Diceros bicornis minor: one gene and its partners. The protein of the gene in region 4 interacts with the protein of the main gene of each other region in a pairwise test. Links are inferred from orthologs where the notes say so. Each region holds a gene or a part of one and is shown on either strand. Other genes may lie near its edges. The genes, in order: HNF1B, trefoil factor 3-like, HNF1A and PCBD1.

Region 1 (6,878 bases), on a different chromosome or scaffold from region 4:
ACCTTTATAGCTCTCCGACCACAGAATTCACGTGTATTCGCCGGGAAGAGCCCGGAGAGCTGGTTATGGTTTTTTATTGAAAATACAGCTCATGCTTGGGGGTTCCCAACCCGAAAAACACACCGATCCAGAGAAGCGCGCCCGGCCATTGTGCTCGGAGCGCAGGTGTCAAACGCCCGGCCGCGGCGCCCGCATCTTTCGCCCAGCACGCTCCTTTTCGAACAATGACTTCGCTGCCCACGAGCAGAAAAGCCCTGGACCCCAGCACAGGTCGCCACGCGTTCGTTAAGAAGCCGCCACTCCGGCTTCTACGAAGCAGCCAACTTTCCAGAGGCCACCGGCGCGCCAGCCTAGAGGCCGCCGGGCGAGGCGGCTCTCACCCGGGGCCGGAGCCCGGGGAGAGAGCGCAAAGGCCCCGATCTTCCTCTCTGGCCTTCCTCTTCTAGGAGGTATAAAGCGCGTCCAGGCGCTCCCCAAAGTGCCTCTTCTTGTTCTTTTCTTTCCGCTTTCGGGGGGAACAGGGTGGGCAAAAAAGGCGGTGGGAGTGTCTGGCGCTCAGGAGCCGACTGTGCAGTGACCTGGGAACCGCTAGCAATTTCTTGAAAAATTACTTTAATAAAGTCCGACTGCTCCCGAAGGTGGGAGAGGGAAGGCAGCACCCGCTTGGGCAAGGGAGAAAAACCTCTGGGTCTGTCCTGCGTGCCCAACCCAACGGGGGTCTCGGGCCCCCGAGCCTCCCTCCCCGCCCCGCTGGAGCCGGGGCTTTGCAGAGGGAAGAGGGCTGAGGTCCGGGACCCTGGGCCGCGCCTGGCTCTGCGCCGGCCGGGCCTGCAGGTGTCGGCGGCTCGGGCGCTCTGGCAGCCCGGGTCGGGCGCCAGGGCTCGGGGCGGCGCGGGGGGCTTAGCTGGGAGCGCCCCGCAGCGCAGTGCGAGTGCGCAGGGAGCGGCGGACAGTCCCGCGTCCGCGTTTTGATTTCCTTCCCCCTCTAAGCCGCGTTTACAACTTCACCAATGAATAACCCGCCTCTCTTTTCAACCTAATCACGACTCTTTGTGTATCTTTCTGTTGATGATTTATAGAAATAAATTAATAACACCCTAACTCCACGTGCTGCAGTTTATGTTACATCTCTGCTGCGTCCAGCTCCGCGCGGGGCTGGGTGCGGAGGGGCGCCCTAGGTCGCCTCGGGCTTCTCAGATCCTCCCGGAGCCCCGCTAGAAAGCGGGCGCCTGCAGCCAAGAGGATGGGCCTAGGCCTCGCGGGCTCCCAGTGGCCGGCGGCGGGAGCTCGGTTAGTCTGCCAGGCCCTGGTCAAACTCCGGGCCTCCCTGCGCCCCAGCCTCTCCTCTTCCGACCCCTCACCTTCCTTGCCCTAACCCCGGAGGGGGAGAAACCGCCGCCACGCGGGGAAACCGCCGGGGAAGAACCCCAAACCTACGTATTGTAGCAAAAATACTTTGGGGGGGAAAAATCTAGAAGTCCCCGATTGTCTTTGCTAGAGAGAAAACCACCGGGTCCCCAAATAGCAAATTCAAATACAAGGTCATATCCCATCCCAAACTGCCGCTGCGGGCGTGCGACCGAGACTGCCCGAGTCCCGGGCGCGACTTCGGCCCTGGCCCTGCCTTGAAACCGCGGTGCTCAAGTGTCCGAGGCCACGCGAGGGACTCGGTCCTAAAGCGGAGTGGCAGGGACCGACGTGCGGTCTAAGGGAACCGCTGGGCTCCTTGGATAATTAGTAACCAGCTGTCAAAGCCCTAGGCCGGTCGGAGAGGCCCAGCAAACGATCCCGGACCGATAGATAGACAGCCGGCCAGCCTGCCTGAATTCCCCGGGGACGCCGGGGTGTCGGCGGCTAGATTGCGACCAAATCCGCCGCGAACTGGGGTCGTTTGCCCCTGACTTGCTTAGATATGTGGTTTCTTTTGCCCCTTGCGGGTCCGCCCTGACCTTACAACATGCAAATATTTCCTTTTGCAAATCTCAGCTGGCTTTGGGGATTCCGGATAACCCTGGGGCCTTGCATGGGCGCTGCGGATGGGAGTGCCCACCAGAGAACTCGCCCCCTGGATTCCGGCCCCAGGGGCCGCCTGTCCCTCTGCAAAGAACGGCAGGACGCTGGTGCCCGAGGCTGGCCTGCGGCTTCCCCGACTAGAGAGAGACGGTGCCCGGGAGAAATGCGTGGCCTGCGGCTTGTGCGGGCCTGAGCCTCTGCTCCTGGGAAATCACCGCTGTTTCACAGCACCCACGCGCACCTTCAGTCGCGTGGGCAAACCTCGCGGCAAAGGGCTCCGCCGCTCGGGTTCTCCCAGGCCGAGCCCCAGCCCGGCCGACAGGGCCCTTCGGGTTTCAGGCTCTGGCCTGGGCAGGGGGAGATGAAGCCTCAGGGCTCCGGGCCGTCCGGTTGAGGGATTGGGAGGGGTCCAGGTGTTGGGAGAGAAGCGGAGCGCCCCCCGGGGGACTTCTCTGGTGGGAAACAGGCTTGGCGAGAGTCGTCTGGCGCAGTGTCGCTCAGGCACAAGGCCAGGGGCTCAAGGGGCTCGGGTGTGTACTCCCCACCTCGATGGGCGCCTACCTGAGCATTCGGTCCACCTCCGCCCGCTGCTCCGCCGCCTCCTCGGTATTGAGCGCCTGCAGCTCCTTGAGGATGGGAGGGGTGTCATAGTCGTCCCCGTCCTCGGAGCCCTCGTCTCCGGACAAGCGGCCCTTGGAGTGGCCGTTGGTGAGAGTATGGAAGACCGGCTTGGTGTCTGGCTCGGCCCCGCTCCCAGGGGACAGGGGCAGCGTCTCCAGTTTCACCCCGAAACTCGGGGATGGCAGCAACTCCTCCAAGGCCTGGACCAGCACCTCCTTGGTGACCCCAGAGCTCAGCAGGGCGCTCAGGAGTTCTTGCTGGAGCGACGTGAGCTTGGACACCATTTTCCAAGGACAGAAAAAGAAGGGGGTGAGGGGGTGGGTGGGTGTGAGAGAGGAGGGTGGAGGGGAGTTTCACAAGCGAACCCTAAGTCCAGGAACCCCCCCACCCTTCAGCCTCCAGACACCTGTTACTCTCCGGGGTCCCGGAGTCTCCTCCGAGAGGAGTCAGAAAACTTCTAACTTGCCATGATCGCCACCATTAGGCCATATAAGATATGCAAATTAGCGGGGAGGGCCCGGCTTTCGGCAAGATGCAAATGATGATGGGGAGGGGGAAAACCGAGAGAGAGGGAGAGCAAGAGGGGCAGACGAGGAGAGCTGGAGACCCGGGCCGGGAGCGGGGCTTGCCAGGGTCCATTGTACTCACGCTGGGGGGCTGAGGCCCTTCTTGTACTGGTTCTGTTTATCAGCCAAACTTTAGCTGACCTTTGGACTTGTTAAGCAAGTAAGCTTGCAGCCTTGCGTGGAAGGTGCAGGGGCTTTTCCACAGGCTGCGGGTCCGGCTTTAGTCTGCCGAGAAGAAGAAACTGCGCTTCGGGGGTTCAGGTGAGAGCTAGAGGAAGTCGGGGTGCTCTTGGGAGAAGGAGGTGGAGGAGGATGCGGGGAGTAGAGACCCTCCGAGGCATCTTAACCGACGCAGGTGGTGGGCCGGGAGCCAGCCCCGCGGAGGAGAAACTGACCACTTGGGAATGGACGCAGAGACCTGGGAGAAATGGGAGGTGTTCGGCGGGGTGAACGCGGATTGCAGGGACCCCATTTAGTTCTACCTGGGGTACCGCTCTGCGCTCACCAACTCGGTCTGGCGATTTGGGTTTGCAGAACTGCCGGCCTGGAGAGCGTAGGCGAGCGGGAAGGAGGCCCAGAGAACCCTTGGAAGGAGGCACCGATTAATTTATGGCCAGAGGGAGTAGCCAAAGTTAGCTCCCCCAGCAGCGAGCTGCACCAGCACCCAGCCTGGCCAAGCCGCGGGAGAGCTGGACGCCTGGGCCACGCTCGCGTTTAAACCCGGAATATCAAAGCGCCTCCGCTTTCGGGGCAAAACTAGGATTGCGGGGCCCCCTTTCTAGCGGTGAAAGCAAAGCTTGGCCTGCGGCTGGATGGACAGTTGGAGCCGCTTGTCCTCCCGGCCCACTGATCTCTGGTTTATTCCCAGCTCCAGGACACAGCAGTTCCCAGGGCCAGGGAGGGCGCTCTGCAGACGCGAGGTCACGGCGGCAGTGGCGGGAGAAAGCGCAAGTCGAGAAGGCGCCGACAAAGCCGCGGAGGGAAAGAAGTCGGGAACAATCTTGCAGCACGATCGGAGTTTCACCTGCATCTCCCGGGGCGCCGAGGGGAAAGGAAGGAGGCATGAGGCGCACCTAGACCTACAGGCTGGACCTGACGTGCAGACCAGGGGAAGGGGCTTCTCAGGATCCACCGCTCACAGACCCACAGCTCCTGGGGCAGAGGGCATCCCTTTCCCCTCTCTAGGCCTCAGCTTCCTCATCTGTAAAATACTGATACCTACAGTGCAGGGGACATGGAATGAGACCACCTGTGAAATTCTCAGAATCAGGCAGATCCAGTGCTAGGGTTGGAGGGACTTGGAGATTAGGGACAAAAATTTAGAATCAGCAGGGAACTTGCAAAGGAGTTTCTAAGCAATTCTCCTACCTTTTCCACCTTTAAAAGATAATTAGGAGGAAGTTGGCGTTAGTTTCGGGAAGAGAGGAATTTCAGGGGAAGAGAAGAATTTCAGCGTGGGGAGGAAGTGTCAGCCGCTCCCATCTGCTTGGTTTGAGATCAAATCCTTGGGTGTCTGAGGGCTGAAACTCCAGATGTGACTGATCCAAGTCAGGCTGCTAAGGAGCTAGGCTGCCTCTTTAAATACAGGGTCTGCTACAGATGCCTGGGCCACCTGTGCTGGGAGCAGAAAGAAGGGGGGTGGGTGTGTGCAGGGAGCCCTGGGGGAGGTTTATGCTCTCTCACTCTCTCTTTCCCTGAGAAAGGGGTAATAAGTTCATGGAAATGAAGGCCCTTCATTTCACCTTATTGTCTTCTAGTTTGTTGTGACATATGGCAGGTCTTTGCCCCTCACAATTTGGCCCAGTGGGAGAACCTTCTCTGCCTACCCAGCTCCCCTCAACCAGGATAATGAAGTGTTCAGAGTAAATGTCCCTGGAGAACAATCTCTTCTTCTCTGTCTCTCACTTGCTATCACGGTAGAAGCAGTCAAGTGTATGAAGATCATTTTCTGTGTTTAGCTGGGAAAACCCATTAAAAAACCAGCAATCACTTCCCTTTTAACAACAAAGCTTTGATTTGTAGTTCTAACTACTGTGTGCCCAGTCTGACTCTCAAGCTTCCTTATCTCTCAAAATTCAGGTGTCAGCAAACCCATTCTTCCCCCTACCCTAAGCCAACTATATGAACAAACAGGAAGTTTCACAGAGTACGAGGAAACTTCCTATGAGTGTCCAGGTATGTCTTCCAGGCAATCTGGTTATGCAGATCCAGCAACTTCCTGAAATCCTCCTGCCCAGACCTACCTTGTCTAAGCCACCTGGTGTAGTATGGGTGCTCATCAAGTAACTGCAACTATAGATCTGTGAACAGATTCAACGCCTACCCCGTCACATGGAAATTTAAAAAGAAAAGTGTAAGTATCTCAGTAGATAGTCCTTCAGGATGTGGGTCATAAATGCTAACTAAATGAGTGATTTGATAAAACCCTTTGGTTAAACTTCCCCCAAACAGAAGAAGCAAGAATACAGTTGAAATACTCTGTTTATGCTTCACATAGGATAAAGTGGTGATGGACTGATAGAGTAGCCCCATTTTAAAAATGAGAAAATAAGATATAGGACTTTTTAAGGAGATGGCTTGGAGCTGCTGGAGTAAATTAATGGAAGGATTGAGATTGGGGCTCTGGACTTTTGAGCAAGACTTTAGGATGAAAGAGGAAGGTCTCTAGTTTACTGCTTTGGGAGATGGAAAGTTGAAAGGGGGGATTCTATGAGGGAGAAGTGGAGGATCCACAGCAGAGAATAGAGGACAGACGCTGGAGTCAAACAGACCTAAATTTGGGTTTCAGATCTGCTTAACCAGTTGTGCAACTTGGGCACATTGTATAATCTTTCTGATCCTAGTTTCCTTATGCAGAAAATGATAATAATACTCTACTGTGTTTTTGTGAAGATTAAATGAGTTAGTAACTGCAGGGTCCTGGAATATGACAGGCTCTCACATGTTTAGAAAGAAGCAGCACATCATGAAAGCATACAAAGAAGTGATGCAGTTGATCTCTTTGGATGCTTTTATTCCCAGTTTGTTTTTTCAAGAGTTACTGAATTTGAAGACACCATATTAGGTTCTTCTACTCAAATGATGAATCCACAGTTCAAATACCAAGATTTTCTATGGGAAATGTAGTCCCTGGTGTAAGATAATTTAAAATCCAGTTGGCTCGTCACTCTATGAAGGTTTTCTGAGCACCATCTTGGAAATTTCACAGAATGGCAAATGTGGTTCCTGTGGAGTCAACCTCTCCTATAACTTGGCAACATAGGTGATATTACTTTTCTGCTCTTGTGCTTACAGTCTTCCCCCTACTTTCCATGGTTACCCTGCTTTGCTTACAGCAGGGAGAGCCTGGTCCTCTCCATCCTCTGCTGCTCCACTCTCCAAGCTTTCCCATTGATTCAAGAGAGGCTCTAGAAGGCCTCAAAATGAATCATCTCTAGAGTAAAACATAAATACTGCCCTATCTTGGTCTGAAGGAGGTTAGGGGCCTTATTGTTGGAAAGTAGCATTGTAACCTGGGGAACATTCTAGACTGCAGGGTTAGGAGCCTGAGGTTCTAGCTCTGGATACAACACTCCTTTCTGGATGACTCTTCACCTTCCCAAAGGCTTTGGTGAGCATCTTCTCTAGGCCTCTGATTCCACTTTTGAAAAATGACCGGGTAGTCTAGAAGACCACTTA
Region 2 (7,234 bases), on a different chromosome or scaffold from region 4:
AAATAAGACACAACAGCATAAAGTCTCAGGAATGAAGACTCGTCTCCGTGCTGAGTATGGGATCTTTATTCCTTAAGACATCAGGCCCCAGACATTAGCTTTCAGGTTGCCAGGAGCAGGCTGCTAGGGAAGCAGAGACGAGCAGAGAATCGTGGGGAGGGTGCCCAGAGTGTGGAAGGTCGCACCCCAGGGTGCCCACAGGCAGTGGGCATCGCTTCAAAAGTTGCATTCTGGAAACAAAGCACAGGCGTGCATTACCGTGAGCATTCTCATCTCCCCCTACCAGCTGCCTGGCTTCTCAAGGTCAAGACAGGCTTCAAGGTCAGCGCCTAGCGCTGCCTTCTCCCCCAAGTCGCTGGGGATGTATTGAGTCCCCCACCAAATAGGAGAGTAGCCACAAGCCTCACCAAGACTCAGGGGATAGCGGCAGATGATAAATGACATGGGCCTCGGCAGGGTCGCCCAGTGCTCAAAGCGGTAGGTGTCATCCCTGGCCGAGGAGCCAAATGAATGGGGACAGCCTGGGAAGGGGCAATAGGCAACTTTCCCTCCTGGTCCCAAGGCCTTATCTGGACTCTGCCTGGCTTTGCTGGGAAGAGGAGGAGGCCCTGGCATTGGGCAGGGGCCCCATCATTGATCAGGGAGTCAGGGTCAGCTGGAATGCAGCCCCCCTCCTCATCAACCAGACAAAGGGCCAGAGTGGTCCTTTCTGGTGCTGATTCCAGGAAGGTGCCTTTCGTACCTATCTCCTTAGAAGGTGAGCCAGCCCCTGAGCTGCCAGGTGGCTTACAGCAGACCTCCATGCCCAAGATGTGGTGGGCAGGGCCGATGGAGTCAGGACAGCAAACCACCAGTGTGCATGGCCATCTACTGCTGACGTGGGATTCCCTGGGGTGGTTGTCCTGTACCCACTGCACACCTGAAGGTGGTGGGCACGGGGTGGGGGGGAGATGGCGGGGTGCGGAGTGGCACCAGGGCACCGTGCCCAGCACTGCCACTATCCGCCATCTGCCGAGGGCACGTCACAAATGACAGAGACTCAGTGGTTTGCTGAACCTGGCCTCGAATGTCGGCCCTGCTTTCCAAACCTGGTATTTTCTGTTTCTTTCCAGGATAGTTTTTAAACTAGTTCCCTCTGCATAATACCTCGACTTTGAACACATTTTTTAAATGATTGCTTTTGTATTTTGTACAAATCCCTCGGCAAGGGGACAGCGGAGGACAAGGGGGACAGCCACTGGCTGTCCTTGGCGTGAAGCCTCTGACTGAGGCCTCCACCAACGGGCAGCCTGTGGGTGTCCTGCTCAGGGCCCAGGTGTGTGCAACTTCCTGGGGACCTGGAGGTCCTTCTGCAGGGTGCGGAAAGGACACGGTGCCGGGGGCCGGCTCACCTGTCTCCCGCAGCGGCGTAAAGCACCAGGGCACCCGGGGGATGCTCGAGTCGAAGCAGCAGCCCCTGTTGTTGCACTGCTCCGAGGTGATCTCGGGGTAGCCGCAGTCCACCCTGTCTTCGGCCGGGACGGCACACTGGTTTGCAGCTGTCCGGAACAAAGCCGGGTCATTTTGGCTTCGTTTTGCGAGTTTGCATCCTCCCCCAGCTCCTGAGTTCAAAGGATGTGACCCCACCCCCACCCCCACAAATGTTTGCTTGCAGAGGACCCTCTTTCCATGTAAATATTTAAAGAGAAGCGTTCTGTAGGAAATCTGGCCATCTGCCGGGGTGTCTCTCTCACTGGTGTGCTCCCAGCCCCTTGTCAGGAAGTCGGTATGAGATGGGCTTGGGTTCCCTCCAGCTGGCAGGGGCCCATGGGAATCAGGGGTCCAAAGTTCCCCTTCACTGTTTTATCAACGAAAACCTCCTCCCTTTTTAAAAAAATGAATAGTATAATAGGAGATAAACCTTCAATAGAAAAATCACAACGCATCTATTTTCTGTCTCTTTTCTGCATCTCCCTACCCCCAAATTGTTTGACTTGTCACATCTTCCCTGTACATCCTTCAGTCTCCAATACTCATTTTTCTAGCAAGCCTGTATGTCCGAATTTCGACAAAAGTCCACTTTGCCTCAGTACCTAACTGGATTTTTTCTTAGGAAAATAGAAATCATGAAAATCTCCTAAACCTTCTTCTATTGTTGCCAGTCCATAATTTCCTACTCCAGTGGTTCCCGATCTGCTCATGTTGGGATCACTGGGGAACTCTAAAAGTTGTTGATACCCGCTCCCACCACAGACGTGCTGATGGAATTCGTGCCTCCTGGGCTTTGGCAGTTTTAAAACTTCTCCAGGTGATTCTAACGGGCACCAAATTTGGGAGCCACTGCCTCTGACATGGCTCCGTAGATAACCCAATAAAAGCCACACCCTGATTTCTTTAAACTGGGTTAATGGAACAGCCACATCCCCCATCTAGAGTTGCAATGTAATAGCTACATGAAAATTGTTTGTAGGTATTGAAACGTTCTGGAAATAATCACTTTCATTTGTCTTTCCTTCTTGTTTTGTAAGTGAGCCAAAACCATGAATAAAGATCTTTGTTGCGATTCAGAAATCTCTGGCAAAGACGGCAGTGGGAGGTGGGGTTGGGCGTCGGCTGCCGGCCAGGCAGACCTGGGGGAATCCTGGTTTCAGCACTGACCAGGACGGCTGCTTCTGGTCAGTTATGGACCTTCATGAGTCTCACTTTTCTTGTCTGTCACGTGGGGACAGCAAGACCCAGTTTTGTAGGGCTGTTGAGAGAAGATGTGTGTGACTGCTAAATGGCAATTATTGAATCAACATGGGGGCCTGGCCACATTCCTCAAGCACTCAGAAAGCCCCTGGGCCTGCATCTTCTGCGTCCCTCCCCCTCGTCATGTGAGTCCACCCAGCCACCCACAGGGCCCCTCCCTGCTGCAGGGTGGAGGCAGTCAGAGGCATACTCACACAGGCCCACGTACTCCCCGGCCAACCTGGAGAACCCGCAGGCCAGGACCGCCACCAGCAGCCACAGCACTCTGGCCTCCATGTCACGGGCGGGCTCAGAGGACATGCCAGGTCAGCCAAGAAGACTCATTTATACCCCTGTGTTTGCACAAGCACCCGGATTCTGTTTGTTGGGGACAGCCCTTCCCTCTGGCTCTGGGCCCCGCCTGCCTTTCCCCTGCACAGACTGTGAAGCCCCCAGAGGTTCTTCTATCCCAAAGCAGAGAGGGTGGTTCCATCCTACCGTTTTGGTAGCAAGCAAGGGGCAACTGTGGGTTCCAGACTCCGGGTTAGCACCTCTCTCTCAGGGAGCAGGCTGTCAATGCCCCGGTTAGCCTGGCCTGGAGGAAAGGGTAAAGGCACAGTGTGGGGCTGGGCGTCAGTCCCAACAACCCACCCAGGAGCAGTCCAGAAGTTTCCCTACTAATGACAAGAGTTCCCAGGCCACTTAACCCCAGATCAGCCCTGGGTGCTTGAAAAGACAGGTGACGACCTTGAGTCAGGTGGGCTGTGCCCACGGATGGCTCTCTCTGGACTCTTGAGAGGCGAATATTCCTCTCCTGTTTGCTTTTTTCCAGCAACAAAATATTTTTATTGTTAACTACATTTTAATAAATATACTAAGTAATCTTATTCAATACATTTTAACAAAAATAATACGTGCAGTTGGTTTTTAAAATCAGACAATACAAAAGACACACCTCATGTCCAGAAGTGTTTTTCTGGTGTTTTTCCAGAAATGTTCTCTCTAGATCTGAGCACATTTTTAACACAAATGGGAACTCACTACCTTTGCTCAGCTTGGAAAGCTGTACCTTGGAAATTGTTTTATAACAGCATATCTAAATGAGATGGGAATTTTCTGGAGGAACTAAGGCTCCAAGTTGAAGGTGGGTGTCAAAGGTTACTCTGGTCGACCTGAGGGAGCTGGGTTTGAACCTGCCTCTACAGGATCCTAAGTCTCAACTCCCCGTGCCCAGCACCCGCCCCCCCCTGCTGGCTGACCAGTGAGAGCAGGAGAGTGTGGAGTCCTGGTGACTGTCGGGTTCCCCATCTTTCTTTTCTGCCTAGGGCACTCCTATCCATCTCTTCAGCACTGATGATACCCAGTAACTCTTCCAGAACCTCAAAGTGGACTTTGTGTGTCATCCCAGAAGCAGGTGCACCTGGCTGGTCAAACATAGCCTCCGGTGGGGGTCTGGTGTTGGAGGGACCTGAACCAATCAAGGGTTCATCCACATAGCTGTCCTTCACCGAGAGACCAATGGGTCCAGACTGTACACGCCTTGGAGACAAGGACCGTGTCCCACTTTGGGACTCCCCAGGCCCAGCCCCTTGTACTCAGTGAGCCCTTGATGAATCCATTTGAGGTGACACTCGCCATCTGGTTTGCCACTCCTTCCAAGACAAGTGCAGGGGTGAAGGCAGAGCAATTTCTGTGCTGTTTGCAGGACATGTGCTTTCTTCCCAGAGGGAGAGAGGGCACCCAAGCTAAAAGATGGCACCATGTTTATGTTACTGAAAAGATCGTCCTAGGGGAAGTGGGACCTTTTCTGGCCAGACCCTCCCTCCTGCGTACCCACCCCCCAAAATACCCCCAGGCCAGGCCAGGTTGTGGATCCCGGCCAGGTTCCAGGAAAAGAGCAAACACCCCAGAAACGGGCTTAGAAGGGACAGTTATCTGAAGGCTGCCCCATCAGGGAGTATCTCAGAGTGCCCGGGTCTCCACCTGGCTGCCCTTAGCGTCACCTGGAGAGCTGGGGCAGTGTGGACACCAGGCCCTGCCTGCCCAGGCTGGCAATTCAGGGACACCTGAATTCTGCTGGGCAGCCAGCGCAGAGGACCACCCCCTGGTGTTTGACTTCAGTGTAACTCAGTTAACGTCGATTGAGCCTGGGGCTTGGGGCTGAGGAAGGACTAAGGAAGGTGACAAATCCCTGTCCTTGAAGAGTCCCCAATGGGGAGACGAGGTCATGTTGTAGTTATGACAGAGAGGCCGAGAGACGTGGTCCCAAGTCACTTCACCGCTTGTGCCTCCGTTTCCTCACCCCCACCTAGTGCCTAGCCCACTAGGGTGCCACAGAGCCCAGCTGGGCGCCAGGGACACACACAGACCACCTGCCAGGGTCCGGGCTCCCGGACCCCCGGGTCCGACAGATGTGGCAGCTGTGGCATGGCGGTGGTGGGGAGGAGCTGGATTCCACAAGGTGGGAACAGCACAGACATCTTAGAGGACAGGGGCTTGAGCCGGGCTTGGGAGCCCAGAGCAATTGAGGTAGTATTTGTGGGGAAAGTCTTTATGTGGCCCCTTGCTTCTGCTCCAGTGAGCCCTCGACCCAGGAACCCCGGGCTCCCCACCAGGGGCAGAGGATGCCCACACTGGCTTCCAGGGCTCACAGTCCCGTAGCCTTCCCAGCCTCCTTGTCCCTGAGTGGGGAGTTCAAGTTCCAGGGATGAAGCTGCCGGCCCCGGGGTCACCAGTCATTGGCCCCACCCTGAGAGCTGGCTGCCGTGCACACCCCTAAACCTGAGGTGAACATGCTCTGGTGCCTGCTGGAGGCTCTCTCCTTCCTCCTCCTCTGCAGCCGCGTCTCTGCCTGGACTGTCCTGGGAGCCCTCCCCTGCTGTGGGAGCTGGTGTCCCAGGAAAGCGAGGGCCTCCTGGGTGGATCCAAGAAGCAGGTGCTCTGGCCCTCAGTGCTGGGCCTGCAACCTCCCACCTGCGGGATGCATGACCATCGGCACATATACGTGACAAGCACGGGCTGCGTGCGGATCACGGGCCAGACAGATGGCCTGTGAGTGCTGGGCTCTAAGGACGCCAGGCAGAGTCCCTGACCTCCGAGCCCACAGCCCCGAGAGGGAGAACAAGCCTTGAAGCATGAATTGTGATGTAAAGCGACCAGGGCTGGCAGGATGCTACGCTGCAGTCATCTCATGGGGGGTGATGTCTGAACTGGATCTTGAGGGATGAGTAGGAGTTCACAGATGGGTGAGGGTCAGAAGGGCATTCCAGTCAGGGGCCACTAACTGACCACCCCCGGGGAAATATAGAGTCAATGTGGCGTCTACAGGGTTATACATTCCACGTCACCTCTCAGCTTTCTCATACTGTCACTCTTGGTTACTCAAGCCAGTAGAAAGCCAGATGGAAGAAGGGTTCAGCTAATCGACATCCCTGGGCTGGTCCTGGGGTCACATGCCTCCCCGGGGAGCTGCCTGCTGACCAGCTGTCAAATCGTTCTGCAGCTGCCTCGGGTGCAGGCCCCTCCTGTGTTCCCCGCAGTTTCCTCCTGCCGGATCCTTCCTGAGCAACCAGGACCTGAGCATAGATGTTTTGGGGAAGCATTCTTAGTGACCTATTCAGGGATGCTCCTGTGTTTTGGGGTGATTTCCACTGAGGACAAATAGGGGAGGGGGGATTAGGCCATGCAAACATGTCACTCACCAACTGTGGAGGAGGCAGGGGAGAGGACAGAGAGTCCCGGTGAGTCAGGACGGAGGCCGTGGGCCCTAGGAAGCCCCTCATGGACCCTGGGTCTCCTGCCCCCAATACGGGGCCAGTGCCCGTCCTACCACGTACGGGGGGCGTGTGACGGCCCCGGGTGTTCAGGGGACACTGAGGTCCAGATGCAGGTGGATTTGGGTGGTTCCTGCCACAGTGACCTCTAGATCCAGAGCTTCTTCGGGTTTGGAATTATTGCATCAGTCCCAGGTGCTGTTACGACAAGGAAGGGTTTCCAGGAATGAGTCAGCAGAGGACCAGGACACCGCAAGAGCAGAGATAAGTCGGAAATAAACAGAGCTGATAACCGGGGAGCAGATGTGCCCGGGGGCACGAGGCCCCACACTGACAACCCTGCCTTTTGGACTCAGATGACCAGCAGGGAGCTGAGCTCCTCACAGCACACTGTAATGGGACCCGGATAAGCCCTCAACTCTTGCCTGATGAACGCCCACGGCCCTGCACTGAGCCGTGTCCTAGGAGGACAGCCAGGAAAGGTGGAAGACTGTCCCTGAAACCCCATGGTGCAGGCAGCATTGTACAAAAGTCCCAGGCAGTGGCGGGAGACCCCAGGGAGCCGATCCTCCCACCAGCCTGCAGCCCAGATGGACAGGCCACCGCGCTCTTGGGCTTCAGATTTCTTCCCTTTGAATCAAGCCATTGTCACTAAGTGACTTCCAAGTGTGCTGGGATGGATTGTGTCCTCCCCATACCCATGTCCTTCCTGGAACCTCAGAGCATGGCTTTCTTTGGAATAGGGTTGTTGC
Region 3 (7,636 bases), on a different chromosome or scaffold from region 4:
TTCATAGCAGGAGATAGAAAATGAACAGATAAACAAATCAGATCATCCTACATAATGATAAGGGACAGGAGAAAGTCAATGAAAGTAGTGGACGAGAGAGTGACGGGGGTGGGCCTACCTTTAGATGGGGTAGTTGGGGAAGGCCTCCCTGAGGAGGTGACATTTGAGCAAAAGGAGGAGAAGAAATCAGCCATGGGAAGATCTGGAAAGAGGGTTCCAGGCAGAAGGAACAGCACATGCAAAGGCCCTGAGGTGGGAATCAGCAAAGTCAGTGTAATTGATGGAAAGAGAGTGAGGCAGGGAGGTCCCTCAGAACGAGGTCAGGGAACCAGGGCAGGGAATTTGAATTTTATTCACTGTCCAGGTAGGGAAACTGAGGCAGAAGGTGGCGAAGAAACTTGCCTAAGGTCACAGGGTGAACTAAGGGTGGCAATCTAAGGGAAGAGCTCAGATTCCTGCTGTGGCCTCAAGCACGGGGCACCCTGGGGAGGCCTGGAATCCAGACCCACCCCTGCCTCTTCCCAGACACTTTCTGCAGAGAAATGGCTTCCACTGGCAGTCCTGCCTCTGCATCATCCCTTCCAGCCTTAACCTTCCTCAGTGCCCAGGCCTTCATCGAGGGTCCTCCACCCCTCTCCTTCTGGTGCCCCGAGGCTAGAGGCCCCACTTTTCTCCCTCGAGGCGTTCTCAGATCCCTTTTGTTACCTGAACAATAAGTAACCCAGGTAGTTAGTTATAAACTCCGCAGGAACAAGGAGCTGGTTGATAATTTATAGCAACATCTCAAATTTAAATGGAAAGTAAATAGCATGCTGTTAGCATTAAAGAAAACCCAATCGGGGCGGGCGGGAAGCACTCCAGCCTCCTCTCAGCTTGGGGCGCCTCAGTCTCTCCCGAGCCCCTTCTCCCAGCTGGGTGCGAGCCCCTCTCCCCTCCCGCTGCTCTGCTCAGCTCTGCCACTCCAGGCCTCTCTCTCCATCTCGCCCGACATCCTCTCTCTTCCTCCCTGCCTCCCCTCTCTCCCTCAGGTTCCAGGTCTCTGCTGGTCCCCAGGGAGCACTCTGACCTCTGCTCCCCCCTCAAGCGCTGTGGATCCAGCCTCCCCCCTCACCCACCATCCCACCACAGGGGCTGCTGATCAAGAGGCCCCACCCCGCCAGGTAAGAAAGGCCCTTGGACCCTCTGCCTCCGCTCCCACTCAAGAGCCCCCAATCCCGGCTAGGGCCCGGAGCCAGTCTGGCCCAGCCCCACCCTGTCCCGGTGGCCCTCGTCCCAGGTCTGGCGATGCCTGACTCTTTGCCCCTCCCCTGCAGCCCAGCGGGGCCCTTTGCCCTCCTCTTCCTGCCAAGTCAGGGGGCCCTGGCTGCTCCCCTGCCCGCTGCCCGGGCCCTCACGAGGCCTGGCAGACCCTGAGGGCTCCCTGAGGCGGGATCCAGCCCTCCCCCACCCCAAGCTGGGATCAGGACCTTGGACAGAAAAGACGTGGTCCCCTGGAGAGGCCTCTTCCTCAGACAGCTCCCCCAGCCACCCCCGGCCGGTCCCTGGCCCCCAGTCATGGCAACTGAGAGCACCAAGCAGAGTGGGTGTGAAGTCCCAGCTGGGTGGCCTTAGTCAAGCTGCTTCCCCTCTCCGGGCCTCAGTTTCCTCGTCTGCGAAGCAGAGTTATCCATAGCTTCCTCCCAGGGTTCACCTCAACATTATCCAAAATGATACATGTGAAACTTCAGCACAGCGTCCCGCTGTTAGGATGGAGGTTAGGGAGCCTTTGGGGAGGGGCGGTCCCTGAGCCCCCAGGCCCCCCTCCCTCCACCCCCACACTCCCCATCCCCCACCCCCACTGAGTGGGAGGTTGGTTGGCCCAGGGCTCCCCAGGCCACCATCCCTCCAAGTTAATGATCACAGGCCTTATCAGAGCCTTTTGCTGTTTATAAATTTATAAAACAAAAGAGAAATAATAAAGCTTGCGGGTAATTAGTAACCAGGTTAGCTCTGCTGAGGAGAGGGGAAGCATCTGGCTCAGACCCACCCAGTTCTCTGGGAGATGGGGAGCCAGCCAATGGATGGGGGTACAGAACGGGGAGGACTCTAATGGCGCCTGAGGCTGTGCAGGAAAGAGGAGCAGCCCCCACCCCAAGGCTCCATCTCCCTCAGGTAAGAAAGATCTGGGCTTTCCTGGCTGAATGCTTGAGTCGCCGGGTGGTTGGGGAGTCCCCAAAACCCCAGCCTCAGCCCCTCCTCCCCAGCGGTGCATCCTGTCGCTTAGCAGGGCAGTTAGGGTTTCGGGAGTGGAAATGGCCGTGGTAGCTAAAAATTCCACCCCCCACCCCGGTTCTCCAGGCACTTGAATGTGGATTCTCCCTCTTTTCCCCGTCTCGGAGCTCCCCTGGGGCATGTCCCCACTTCCCAGGCACTGGGCTGAAAGCCGCGGCTCGTGGGGACTCAGACTCTGCAGAGGCCAGGTCGGGCCTGGAGGCTCCAACCTCAAGCAAGGACCCCCCACCCACGCAAGCTCTCCTGGGCCCTGTCCCCTTCCTGACAACTAGGCTCGAGGCCACACTCGTGGAACTCTGGCCTCAGAAGGCCCGGCCAGGAGCAGCGGGTGGGCCCCTGGGGAGCCGGGCACAGGGAAGGGGCCTTACTGCAGCAGGGTCTCCACCACGGCTTTCTGGTGGGCCGCCTCCTCGGGGCTGAGGTTCTCCAGCTCTTTGAGGATGGGCGGCGTGAAGTCTTCCCCATCGTCGTCCGTCTCGTCCTCGGAGCCCCTCGTTTCCCCCAGCCCATTGGGCAGCTCGGCCAGCTCCCCTCGGCCGCCGCCGGCGCCGCCGCCACAGGACTCCCCCTTGTCCAGGGGGCCATCCCCAGCCAGAAGGTAGGGCCCCGGCTCCCCCAAGGCCTGGATCAGCGCCTCCTTGCTCAGGCCCGACTCGAGCAGGGCCGCCAGGAGCTCCGTCTGCAGCTGGCTCAGCTTAGAAACCATGGCTCCTCTGCCGCTGGACCACGCGGCCCGGGGCCACCGAGCTGGCCGCCTCCCCCGCGTGGGCTGTCTCCTTGCCCGCCGGCCAGCAGGCAGGCACAGACCAGGCTCCTTGCACCCACGACCCCCCCAAACCCCACTAGCCAAGCCCTGTGGGCACCCCCAACCCCCAACCCTGGCCCCAGCGGCCAGTGAATCAGGGCCCCTGCCCGCTCTGTTTACATTGGAGCTGGGGAAATTCTCCAAGGTTCATATTCATCCGTGTGCTTAGCGAAGGGCCTGGACTTTGGACTTCAGCCCTGCAAAGTGCGGGCCTCATGGCAGCGCAGAGGGCCGGGAGCCGCGGCCTGCAGTGGGAGTGGGCAGAGCGAGGGTGGGGGAGGCGGCGGTGGGGGCCCAGGGCAGCTGAGGTGGAAGGTGCTGGGAGCCCAGGAGGCCCTGGGGTGAGCAGCATCAGATCTCATCCCCAGGGACCTTGTAGGGGGTCAGGCTGAGGCAGGAGAGCAGAAACAGCACGTTTCCCCTGGGAACAGAAGCAGCAAGTGTTCCAGGCAGGTGGGCCAGCTCTCCTCAAGGGCAAGGCTAGGTCACATCTATGTTGCCACCTCCCATCAGGCCCAACGCCAGGCCTCCCCGTAGGAAAGACTGTCGACTGGCACAAGTCTACTGTGTGCCAGGGATGTGCTGGTCTATAACGTGCGTCATGACCTCACTGTGTCCCCCTCCCAGCTGTGAGCAGGTATGGGGACTATACCCATTTCACAGAAGAGGAAACCGAGGCTCTGAGATGGTAAGCAACTTGCCCAAAGTCACCCAGCCAGCAAGGGGCAAGACACAGGGTGGGAACAGGGTAGGCCAGTCAGACACGAATTTTAAGGGGGCGCCCAAAAACTCAGTATTCAAGAAAAATAATATTTTTATCCAACATATTAAAAATCAAAATGAATGCAAAATCCAAAAGAATTAAAAACATATGCCCACTGGGGCCGGCCCCATGGCTTAGCGGTTAAATGCGTGCACTCCGCTGCTGGCGGCCCAGGTTCGGATCCCGGGCGTGCACCGACGCACCGCTTCTCCGGCCATGCTGAGGCGGCGTCCCACATACAGCAACTAGAAGGATGTGCAACTATGACATACAACTGTCTACTGGGGCCTTGGGGAGAAAAAAGGGAAAAAAAAGGAGGAGAATTGGCAATAGATGTTAGCTCAGGGCCAGTCTTCCTCAGCAAAAAGAGGAGGATTGGCATGGATGTTAGCTCAGGGCTGGTCTTCCTCAGCAAAAAGAGGAGGATTGGCATGGATGTTAGCTCAGGGCTGATCTTCTTCACACACAAAAAAAAAAAACCACATGCCCACATAGAAATTCTCACGTGAATGTTCACAGCAGCATTATTCACAATAGCCAAAAAGTAGAAACAACGTAAATATCCATGAACAGATGAATGGATAAATAAAATGTGGTCTATCCATGCAGTGGTATATTATTCGGCCATAAAAAGGAATGCAGTGCTGATCCGTGCTACAATGTGGATGAACCTGGAAGACCTTATGCTAAGGGAAATAAGCCAGACACAAAAGGTCACATATTGTGAGTCCATTTCTATGAAATGTCCAGAAAGGCAAATCCATAGAGACAGAAAGTAGGTTAGTGGTTGTCAGGGGTGTCTTTGGGGACAGTGAAAATGTCCCAAAATTGATTAGGTGGTGTTACAAAACTGTAAAAACCACGGAAATTGTGAACTTTTTAAAAGGCTGAATTTTATGATATATGAATCAGTAAAAAATATTTTTTTAATTAATGCAAAAAACCTGGGATGAACAAAATATCAACATTTTAAATAAAGCCAGGCTCCAGTGCTCACTCCCCTCCCCCCAATCCCAGCCCTGGGTGAGCACTGGTCCCTCACGCCCCCACCCAGCTCTTCCCTCCTCCAGACAGAGCCTTGATAAAATTCCTGCTGTGTGTCCCCCGGGGTGGCCCTAAGCCCCCAAAACAAAGGATGCACACCATTTCCTGGAGCAGGCGGGGTGGTGCTGAGGGGCCGCCCCCCAGGCTGGGGCATGTCCAGAGGGTCCGCATCTTTCAGGGGTCTGCAGAACCAGGGTCAGGCTTGGCGACAGAGGAAGGGATAAGATGCTATTGGCCAGAAAACCCTCCCGCAGCCAGGCGAGGCCAGCAGGGAGGAAGGGGGCTGGTTGACAATGATAATTGAGCTCTCTGTCAGCTCAAATCCCCTTCTCAGTCTGTCCGCTCCCACATGGGGTGCTCCAGTCCCCCCAACACTGAATTACGTCTTCATTTCTGCATTCACCTTCTGACGTGCTGCACAACTGTGCTGCCCAGCACAGCAGCCACCAGCCACATGTGGCTACTGAGCACTCGAGATGTGGCTAATGCCTTCTGGTTGAAATGATAATATTTTGGATATATCGGGTGAATTTTAAAATTTTTAATTAAAAATTAGAAAAATTAATTTCACCTGTTTCTTTTTACTTTCGTAATGGTACTACTGGAAAATTTTAAATTACATAACATGGCTCACATTATATTTCAGTTGGGCAGCACTGCTCTAGAATTTACTTACGTATTAGGTTTGTTATTTATGGTCCATCTCCCTCTGCTAGAACGTAAGCCTGCTGACGGCAGGGTTTTGTCTGTCTCGTTCACTGCTGTATTCCCAGCGTCTAGAATATTGCCTCGTACGTACCTAGTAGGTGCTCAATAAATATTTGTGGAATGAATGAATGAATAGCTAAATTTCATTGTGCACCGACCTTGTATACTTAGCTCTGCACTAAGCTTTGTCGTATATTAAACTCTCAGAACGACTCTGTGAAGTAGGCACTGTTATTATTCCCATTCTGCAGCAGAGGAAACAGAGGCTCAGAGGGGTTCAATGGCTTGCTCAGGGGCGTCCAGAGCCGGGCAGTCTGACTGTGCAGGACAATGCTGACAGTTGCCCTTTGGGAAAGGGAGACCCCACCTTTCTTCCAGTGTTTTCTTTTTCCTCCAGTGTGAGTCGCTTTGGGGTAAGGGGGCTCACTGCTGGGGGCAGGATTCTCAAGTCCAGGCTGAAGGGCAGGGGCGATGCTGTGTGCTGTCCCTTCGTGGTTTCATGGTGCTCCTGCTTGCCGTACCCTGCCAGGAGGCTGTGTGACGTTTCACCTAGAAGAGGGAACCAGAAAGAGGGAGAAGGGTGGGGCGGGATCCTTTGCACAACTTTGAACTCATGAACTGCTAGGTCCTCCTGCAGCCAAGTGGCCCAGCCGGTGCCTCCAGGACTGAAGGTGGGTTTGGTTGGGAGGTGGACCAGCAGTGGGTGGGGGGAGAGCCTTCAGGAGGTCTAAGGAGAGAGGCCCCCAGGGCCCAACTTCAGCTCCCAGGACACACAGGGGCTATTGTCCTGGGCCCTGAGTGGGGCCCCCTCTGATGAAGGAGAAGGGACATCAGCAACCTGACCCTGCTGCCCCGCAGACATGGAGGCAGACAGACAGAAAGGGCTGCCCTTCCCCACAGTCAGGGGACAAATCTGAACTGACTCCAGGTTGGGAGAGCAGTTTGCCTTCCTGAGAATCACTGTCCCCACACACCACCCCCACCCCTGCTGGGTAGCCTTTCCTGACTCATCTATGAAATAGAAGTATGGATCTGCCAGGGTTGTAAAGAGCATAACGTAGAAATTCCAAACCCCCTCAGTTCAAGGCGCCTCTAGTGTCTCGGTGATGTTTTCACGGCACCTCCTGCCTCTATAAAAAAAACTAACAGTTAACTTTTATAAGTAGTTAGGTTAAAACAACTAATAAGTATTCATGTCCTCACAACTTAGTAGCCGCTTGAAAAATGCACATCAATTGAAAGAAAAAAATAATATTTTAGTTCCTTCTTAATGCTAAGTATGTGCTTATGGGTGGGTGGGCTTGTGGGGCTCTGCACAACTGCTCGACCCTTGGAATTAGACTGGACGTTACCACCCTCATTTCCTGCTCCACAATGATTTTTGCAAGATATTTGCTTGTTATCAGAACAACTGCCATAAACCCAGCTTTACAAAGCTGTGACGTCATCTAAAGGAAGGAAGCTCCTCAAACATTGAAACCGCGAACTACCTTGAGCTGGTAGTTTGCAAGGTGTCCGGCAGATGGCGCTGTGTTCCTTTCAAAAATCCTCTAAAATAGTCCGCAGTGCCCAGGGGCACCTCGGCGCACAGTTTGGGAACTGCGGCCCCAGGGGACGGGCTTGGACACAGCAGATATACCGTCAGTGGTAGCTCTGAGCGTCATCGCCACTCTCTCCTGCCGGGCGAGCAGCTGTTTGCAAGGCCAAAGTTGAGGCAAGGCGTAAGGCTTCTCCTTGGCCTTGGGAGGCAACACTGAGCCCTGTCAGTCAGTCTCAGACTCTTGGAATTCGATTACCACCACCCCCCCCACACCTCGGGGCCCACCTGTATTCAAACTTGAACTATTCCTCCTCCGAGTCCCACTGCCCTTTAAATCTTTATTGAACAGTCGCTGCTATATGCGATTTTCATCCATTTAACATCTCAATAGCCTCACGGGGTAGGTACTTTCAGCCCATACTACAGATGAGGAAACTGAGGCTCTAAGAGCATATGGATCCTGCCTAGCTAGTGCACGGCAGAGCTAGGATTTGAACCCAGCTCT
Region 4 (7,619 bases):
TGTCCCACCCTGGTGCCATACCCTATTGAAATCTTTGAAATGGAACTGCTTGAAGATGGCATCTCGGCCTTCCAGCTCATTCCACCCCACAGCCCTCAGGTTTGGCAGCAGCTGGTCCCTCTCCTCAGCGCTTAGCCTGTGTGCTTTGCCAGCCTAGGAGAGGAAAAACACAGAGCCCAAGGGCATTTCTTTTTACAGGACAAAAGAAAGGGCCCCAGACCTTTGGGGAAATTTAGCCAGCCTCTACTCGCTGCTCTGGACGCTGGTGACACAGTCAAAGGGCAGCTGGTCTAAAGCAACAAACTGGGAGGTGTGGAGGGTGGCGCCCTGGCTCACACACTGATAGGTTCTTAGATTGTACACCCCACTCAGAGCACAGAAAATCCTGAGGTGTAATGCAAACATCGGGACTGAGAAACACTCCTCCCCTCCCCCTGCCCCCAAAGCCTTACAGAGGCCCCCCCGCCACCCCCAAAAATAGGTCTCTTACGTTAATGAGGGAGTAAAAGCAAAATCAAGCCCAAATGTGTACGTGTTACAACACAACCTTTCAGAAAGAGTCCCCCGACAGTCCAACCGTCTTTTTCTATTATGGACCTTATCCAGTCCACCCCACGCCCCTACTGTTTTTCACTGTCAGCTGTATGGAAGAGGAAAGAGGCCAGAGAGGGGAACTGACCACTCTTCTCCTACCCCCTCACCCCTGGTCAGGGAGGGCACAGGCATCGTTCTCAAGGTGGGTATGTGTGTCCGCATGCCTGCGGCCAGGCCAAGGAACCAGCACCTAAAACACGTTCCAGGTAATTCTTAGCCATGCTGCAGTTGACACCCATGGGCACTACCTCCCAGTGGGTCCTCCATCACGCTCCTATGCAGCCTCTGCTTCCCAGCAGCCAGGCCTAGGCTTCTCTGATTTCCACCTTCTTTTCTGTTCTGTCGGCTTGGGATGCCCGAGCCACAGAGCTCAGTCCCAAAAGGGGAAGTCACTTGGCCAAGGACAACTGGCAAACCTAGTGCCCCATCCTATGTACCTACTGGGCAGCCGTGACGGCCCTTGGCACAAACTGGCCCAGTTGAGGCCATGAGCGGAGCCTCAGAGAACCGAAGGAAGCAAAGGTCAGTTCCACCCTCTGGGAGGAGCCAGGTCCAGGAGCTTAAGGGATCGCAGAATTTAGGCTCCTGAAACAACGACCCAAGGACAGAAGCTGTAGAGGGCTAAATTAAAAACCATCAATAAGCTCTGCGCGAGAATCGAGGGAGTTCATCTAGCTTTCATGAGGCAGACCGCGGACTGGAAGCTGCAGGGTGGGTTGGCAGGACTGGTTCAGGCCCCAGTTCTGCCACTCTCCAGCCAGGTGACCCGGTGGCACTCATCTCTCTTGGCTTCTTGGGTAAAATGGGACAAGAACTTCCACTCCACAGAGCAGCAGGAGGAGCCAGTGGGACACTCAGTCAACTCCACGGTTAGTAAGGAATGTCATCTGCATTGTTAAAAGGAGACTCCCTGGGGCAGGCAGGCTACCATGGGCCCTGCAGGTTGGGGCAGAACTGCAGAAGCATGGCGGCACTCTTAAGTCAATCTTTTCCTTCCTCCTGAAAACGCCTGTTCTCTCTGGACTGATCTGGTTCGTCCGTCTTCTCAGTTCCGGAAGGCTAGAGCCGGCAGCAGAGATCTGCATCACGCGCCCATCCCCATCTCTGTTCCACAGCTGGCCCTTTCTCAGTGGCTGATAAGCCTGGTCCATGTATCCAGGCAACCGGCTGGATGACCAGACATCAGCCGAGGCATCAGAACCCACTGTTTAGTTCTCTGGCTCTGAAAGCAGTGCGTGGGTACTAGTGAGCTCCTAGGAGGCCTCCCCTTCTCTTCAGAGTCTTCTGGAATCCCCCAAGTTTCACATCTGGGTACTGAACTGACAAGCCCCTCTGAGATCTGGGATCAGAGAGGGGGGAAGGGGTAGTGTTTGCTTAGTAAATCACAGGTCAGGCCTGGTGGCCTCTGTCTCTGGGAGACTGTGGGAAGGGGTTACTGATTACCATCCTTGGGGCCTCAGTGCCCCTCACAGTCAACCTCACCCGCCACCTCCCCTCCCTCCAAGCCACAGCCTTCAAAATGCCCTCTCAGGTGTCACCAGAGTCCCGACTGCTCCTAATGCTTTTGGGCCAGAAATGGGCTGTTTAGTAGGGCTTCCCGGGTCTAGCCAATCCTCTCCTCGCTGCCCGCGGGCTCCCCTTCACCTCCCTAGCTGAGGGCAGGGGGGCGGGGTTGAAGCAAAGCTGAGCACAGGGCCTGAGACCCTGCTGTGGGGAGGCTCAGCCCAGAGGAGGCATGATCCTGAGCAAGCATGTCCCCATCGCTGGGCACAGGCCTCAAACCAGGAGCCAGGGGCTGGCTCTGAGGTCGGGGCCCAGCCCCTGTGGCCAGACGTGCAAGCGAGGAGGGCAGTAGACAGGCACGGAGAGGAACACACACATTCGGTCTCCCCTCACACACACGCGTCCCCCACCTCTAATATGGAGCAGAACCGTGCCTCCGAGGGGACGAAATCTGCGGGCTCACTGTGCTGCCCCTCCCCACGCACGCCCTGGAGGTCACGAGGCCCCGCCCGCAGCATTGCGGCGCCGAGGGGACACTGGCCTGGGAGCAGGGGCAGGCCTGGGCTCCCGCCTCTCTGACACGCGGACCTGCCGCCCCCCCTCCCGGCCTCAGCTTTCCCGGGGCACCACCGCGGGTGGGAGCGGGGCGGAGACCCCCACTCTCCAAGGCCGGCGGCGGCTGGTCTGCCAGGGGCTGGGAGGGACCCTCACCCCACCCCCGCCCCGCCCGCGCGGCCGGCCTGGGCGGGGACCCCGCGCGGACCCCTGCCTCTCCTCCGGCCCTCCCACGCGCCCGTTCCCAACGGGGCTGCCCCGGTGGCGGCGGCACGCGACCCCCTCACCATGTCGGGGCGCTGCGCGGACGCGGGCGGGCGGCAGGTGGCGGCGGCGAAGGCGGGCGCGGCGCGGGGCGCCCTGGGCAGCCGTCGGGCGGGGCCGCCCCGGGGCGGGGCCGCGGCCGGGGAGGGGCCGCCCAGCGGTAATCTTTAACTCGGGCCGCGGCCGCGCGCTCGGCCTCTGCTCCCTTCCGGCACTTTCCTGGGTGCTGTTACCGGGGGCTCAGAGGTTAAGTACGCCGGCTCCAAATGCGGACTTCTGCTTGTGAATCGTGCTCTACCACTTACCAACTGTGTAACCCTGGGCGCGAGATTACCGTTTTCTTTTTTAAAAACACCTTATCGAGGTATTGTCCTGCAGTAAACTGCACGTATTTAAAGTGTACAATTTGATGCGTTTTGACATACATATGCTCCCGTGCAACCATCACCAGGATCAAGATCATGAACACATCCATCACCCCTAAAAGTTTCCTTCTCCATCCTCAGACAGCCATTGATCTGCTTCTGGTCACTCTAGATTAGATTGCATTTTCTAGAATTCTGTGTAAATAGAAATCCTACGGTTTATACTCTTTTTGTGTCTGGCTTCTTTCACTCAGCATAATTACTTTGTGGTTCACTCATGTCATTGCATATATCAATCGTTTCTTCCTTTTTATGGCTAAGTAAAATCTATTTTATAATAGTACATTGTATTGGATATGCCACAAGTTGTTTATCCATTCACTTGATGGACGTTTGGGTTGTTTCCAGTTTTTGACTATGCTATGAACTTTTGCATAGGAGTCTTTGTGTAGATATACACTTTCATTTTTCTTGGGTAAATGCCTAGGAGTGGAATGGCCAGGTCATATGGCAGGTGTATGTTTAAAACTTGTTAGGAAACTGCCAAACCGCTTCTCCAAGTGGTTGTACCGTTTTGCACTCCCACCAACGGTGCAGGAGAGGTCTAGTTCCCTCGCACCCTCACAGCTGCCCCACTACTTGATTGGGTCAGTTCTTTTAATTTTAGCCGATCTAATTGGTGTGTAGTGGTATCTCATTGTGGCTTTAGTTTGAGTTTCCTTAATGACTAATGATATTGAACACCTTGTCATGTGCTTTTTTGCCATTGGTACGTCTTTGATAAATTGCCTGTTCAAATTTCCTGCCCATTTTTTAAAATTTGAGTTGTTTGTTTTCTTATTGGATTTTGAGAGTTCTTTATTGTGGATACAAGCACTTTATCAGATTTATGGTTTGCACGTATTGTCTTTGTATTCTCACAGTGTCTTTCAAAGAGCAAATGTTCTTCATTTTGATGAAATCCCATTTAACAAATGTTTCTTTTATAGATTGATATTTTGGTGTTGTAACTAAGAAACTTTGCCTAACCCAAGGTCACAAATATTTTTCTCTTATGTTTTCTAGTTTTTGGTTTTACATTTAGGTTTATGATCCATTTTAAGTTAATTTTTTATATGCTTTGAGTTATGGATCCTGTCGACGCAAATAATCTGTAATCAGTCTATAAATCAAAATTGGGGTGAGTTTGTTATGAGCCAGGTCTGAGGACTATAGGCCAGGGGCTTCCTTACCCAAGGAAGGAAGCACACCAAAGAAGAGGAGTGTACAGAGTGATTAAATACTGTCTTGGAACAAAGAGCATACATCACATATGACGGGAATATCTTTTTTACTACTCTCACAAGATGCTTAGCTAGCACAGCAGGTCAGTGGTCACGCGGTGAGCACAGCGGGTGGGTAATCAATCCTTAGTTTCTAGGAAGAGATGCTTCTGCTTAAAGAAATGCTGACATGGGGGGAAAGCCACATCCCTATCTTTAAGGGCATTATTCTTGTCTTTGGGACACTGTAAATGTTTAAAGCGGATGTACAATGCATGCTCAACAGGCCATGTCAGGCCTTTTTGGAAAAACAAGGTCAGGCCAAATTAGTTTTAAACCAAATGGCTTCCTCACATACTCCAATATATCCTATTGCTTTTCATTTATTTATCAATCCAAATTCACTTTTTGCATATGGATATTCAATTATTCCTTTCTCCACTGAATTGCCTTTGCACCTTTGTAAAAAATCAATTGAGCGTTTATGTGTGGGTGTATTTGTGGATTCTCTATTCTGTTCCATTGATCTATTTGTCCATCTCGATGCGGGTACCACGCTGTCTTGATGACTGTAGCTTTATAAGTCTTGAAGTCAGGTAATATAAGTCCTCTAACATTAAAAAATATTTTTTTCTATTAACCTTTCTCCCTAAACTCCACTTTTATTCCTCTCCTCCCAATAGTGACCATTTTAATGTGTTAATATGCATTTTTGTTTGTACATGTTCTTGCAAAAATGTGTGTTGTTGTTTCATCTATATGTATTTTTGTTTTTTTCAACAAACAGTGCATGATTTCACTCATATGTGGAAGATAAACCAACACACGGACAGATAGAACTGTTTGGTGGTTACCAGGGGCAAGGGGGGTGGGGAGGTGGGCACAAGGGGTGAAGGGATGCACTTATATGGTGACTGATAAACAATAATGTACAACAAAAATTTCACAATAAAAATAAAATGTGTGTTGTTGTTTCATCCATATGTATTTTTGTTTTTTTAAATAGTACTATATGCTGTTATCTCATTCTTTTTCTTTCAAAACAGACTGGTTAGTGGACAGTTAATATGCATCCACGTTGCTATGTGTGTACTTAATCTGTAGCTTCTAACCGAAGCTTACTATTCCATGGCGGGAATCCCCCACGCTTTATTGTTCCACCGGTGATGGACACTCAGGTTGCTTCCAACTCCCACCACTACCACCACCTCCCCGAACACGTGAGTGTGCCACACACACACACACATGCAGGGCAAAACAACGAAGTGATGGTGCAGTGAGCATCTCTTCCAACTCAACAGCTCCCTGGCCTGGGCCGGCCCCGTGGCTTAGCGGTTAAGTGCGCCCACTCAGCTACTGGCGGCCCGAGTTCGGATCCCGGGCGCGCACCGATGCACCGCTTCTCCAGCCTTGCTGAGGCCGTGTCCCACATACAACAACTAGAAGGATGTGCAACTATGACATACAACCGTCTACTGGGGCTTTGGGGAGAAAAAGGAGGAGGATTGGCAATGGATGTTAGCTCAGAGCCGGTCTTCCTCAGCAAAAAGAGGAGGATTAGCACGGATGTTAGCTCAGGGCTGATCTTCCTCACACACACACACAAAAAATAGCTCCCTGGCCTGTGGGAAGTTTCTTAGACAACTTAAATATGGGCATAGCCTATAAATCCAGCAATCGGCCTCATGGGTACGTTTCCCAGAATAGTTCCAGCTGCTGTCCGGAGTGGCTGCACCCATCCTCATCTCACCTGCAGTGTGGGAGGCCTCCTATTTCCCTGCATTCCTCACCCAGACATCCTCACCCTTGGCTTTATTTAACTTTTTAATTTTTGCCAAGTTAATAGGTATAAAACGACAGCTTACTGTTTTACTTTGCATTTTGCTGATTGCTAATGATTCTGAGCACCTCTTCATGTGCTTGTTAGCATTTGGGGCTTACTGTTTGTAAATTGCTTTTTAATATCCTTTGCCAATTTTTAAGAACTTACAGCTCTTTTTCTAGTTGATTTGCGGGAGTTTCTATCTACAAATTAATTGCTTTTCAGTTTTAGATACTGCAAATATCTCCACCCGTTCAGCCATCCGTATACCAACTTCTTTCGTGGTGTCCTTTGTTGGCAGAAATCTTATATTTTGGTGTAATAAGATTTATCTTTTTTTCTCTACTTTATAATTTTATGCTTTTGAAGATTTATTTGATTAGTCCCCTCCCACCTCTACCATAAAAATATTTTCTCTTTTCTTCTGTTAACTTTATAGTTAGGTAAATTTAAGACCTAAATGTGAAAGCTCCCCTTGGTATGCAGCATTAGGCAGGAAGTTAGCCCATGAAACTGGACTCCCAGTGTTCACACCTATGGCTTCTGCTACTCATGGCCAGTCACTGGAGTGGGGCTTCCTGGCTGCCCAGACCTTCAGATGGCTTCAGCCCCAGCAGCCCTCTGACTTCAGTCACATACGAGACCCCGAGTGAGAACATTGCCCAGCAGAAACCAGGCAACCCACGGAACTATGAGAAATAGTAGCACATTTTTATTTTAAGCCACCAAATTTTGAGGTGGCTTGTTATACAGGAAAGATAACAGGACAAATAGATTCTGAACAAAGCTGGTACCTGAAGTGGAGTGTTAAGACCGACGGAAAACATGTAGCATTAGCTTGGGAGTGGAGGTGAGTAGAAGGTGGGAGGAAGGGTTCAAAGACGCTAAGGAGGCCTTGGGCTTCCACTGGGATGTAGAAAGCTGGAAAGAGTGTTGCTCCCACACTAACAATGAGAAAAGCTTGGATATACTACAAAATCATCACTTTCCTTCAGCTTGCTAGGGAGCTGAGTTCACAGGGCAGCCAAATGGCCTGAATTCCAAGGGGGCCCCTCCAAGGAGAGACAGACACAGACGTGCAGCCTGGCTCCCTGTGCCAGCACTCGGGGAGGAAGGGGGAGACACACAGCCTCCATAGAAGTGGGGAAGAAGAAATCAGCTAACATTTTAACAAATTGTTGGAGGCCAGATGGGTGCTGGCATATCAGTCTGGAATAGCTGGGGACCCCAGACACTGGCAGAGTTTGCACACAC

What was found.
Region 1: the proteins of PCBD1 (region 4) and HNF1B interact in binary tests that used the Homo sapiens proteins (3 or more experiments, as listed by UniProt). The link is inferred for Diceros bicornis minor from reciprocal best matches to the Homo sapiens genes PCBD1 and HNF1B.
Region 2: the proteins of PCBD1 (region 4) and trefoil factor 3-like interact in binary tests that used the Homo sapiens proteins (3 or more experiments, as listed by UniProt). The two-hybrid records come from large-scale screens. The link is inferred for Diceros bicornis minor from reciprocal best matches to the Homo sapiens genes PCBD1 and TFF3.
Region 3: the proteins of PCBD1 (region 4) and HNF1A interact in binary tests that used the Homo sapiens proteins (3 or more experiments, as listed by UniProt). The link is inferred for Diceros bicornis minor from reciprocal best matches to the Homo sapiens genes PCBD1 and HNF1A.

The regions. Positions count from the first base shown.
Region 1 is NC_080757.1:25,012,441-25,019,318, reverse strand, and holds the start of HNF1B (hepatocyte nuclear factor 1-beta), read right to left. Parts: upstream 3,019-6,878; 5' UTR 2,919-3,018; coding exon 2,575-2,918; intron 1-2,574. UniProt on the Homo sapiens protein: Transcription factor that binds to the inverted palindrome 5'-GTTAATNATTAAC-3'. Binds to the FPC element in the cAMP regulatory unit of the PLAU gene. Transcriptional activity is increased by coactivator PCBD1.
Region 2 is NC_080766.1:42,008,005-42,015,238, forward strand, and holds trefoil factor 3-like, read right to left. Parts: upstream 3,007-7,234; coding exon 2,925-3,006; intron 1,539-2,924; coding exon 1,392-1,538; intron 522-1,391; coding exon 408-521; intron 231-407; coding exon 217-230; downstream 1-216. UniProt on the Homo sapiens protein: Involved in the maintenance and repair of the intestinal mucosa. Promotes the mobility of epithelial cells in healing processes (motogen).
Region 3 is NC_080774.1:17,393,531-17,401,166, reverse strand, and holds the start of HNF1A (hepatocyte nuclear factor 1-alpha), read right to left. Parts: upstream 3,016-7,636; 5' UTR 2,978-3,015; coding exon 2,640-2,977; intron 1-2,639. UniProt on the Homo sapiens protein: Transcriptional activator that regulates the tissue specific expression of multiple genes, especially in pancreatic islet cells and in liver. Binds to the inverted palindrome 5'-GTTAATNATTAAC-3'.
Region 4 is NC_080745.1:35,376,024-35,383,642, reverse strand, and holds the start of PCBD1 (pterin-4-alpha-carbinolamine dehydratase), read right to left. Parts: upstream 3,015-7,619; 5' UTR 2,943-3,014; coding exon 2,940-2,942; intron 154-2,939; coding exon 22-153; intron 1-21. UniProt on the Homo sapiens protein: Involved in tetrahydrobiopterin biosynthesis. Seems to both prevent the formation of 7-pterins and accelerate the formation of quinonoid-BH2. Coactivator for HNF1A-dependent transcription.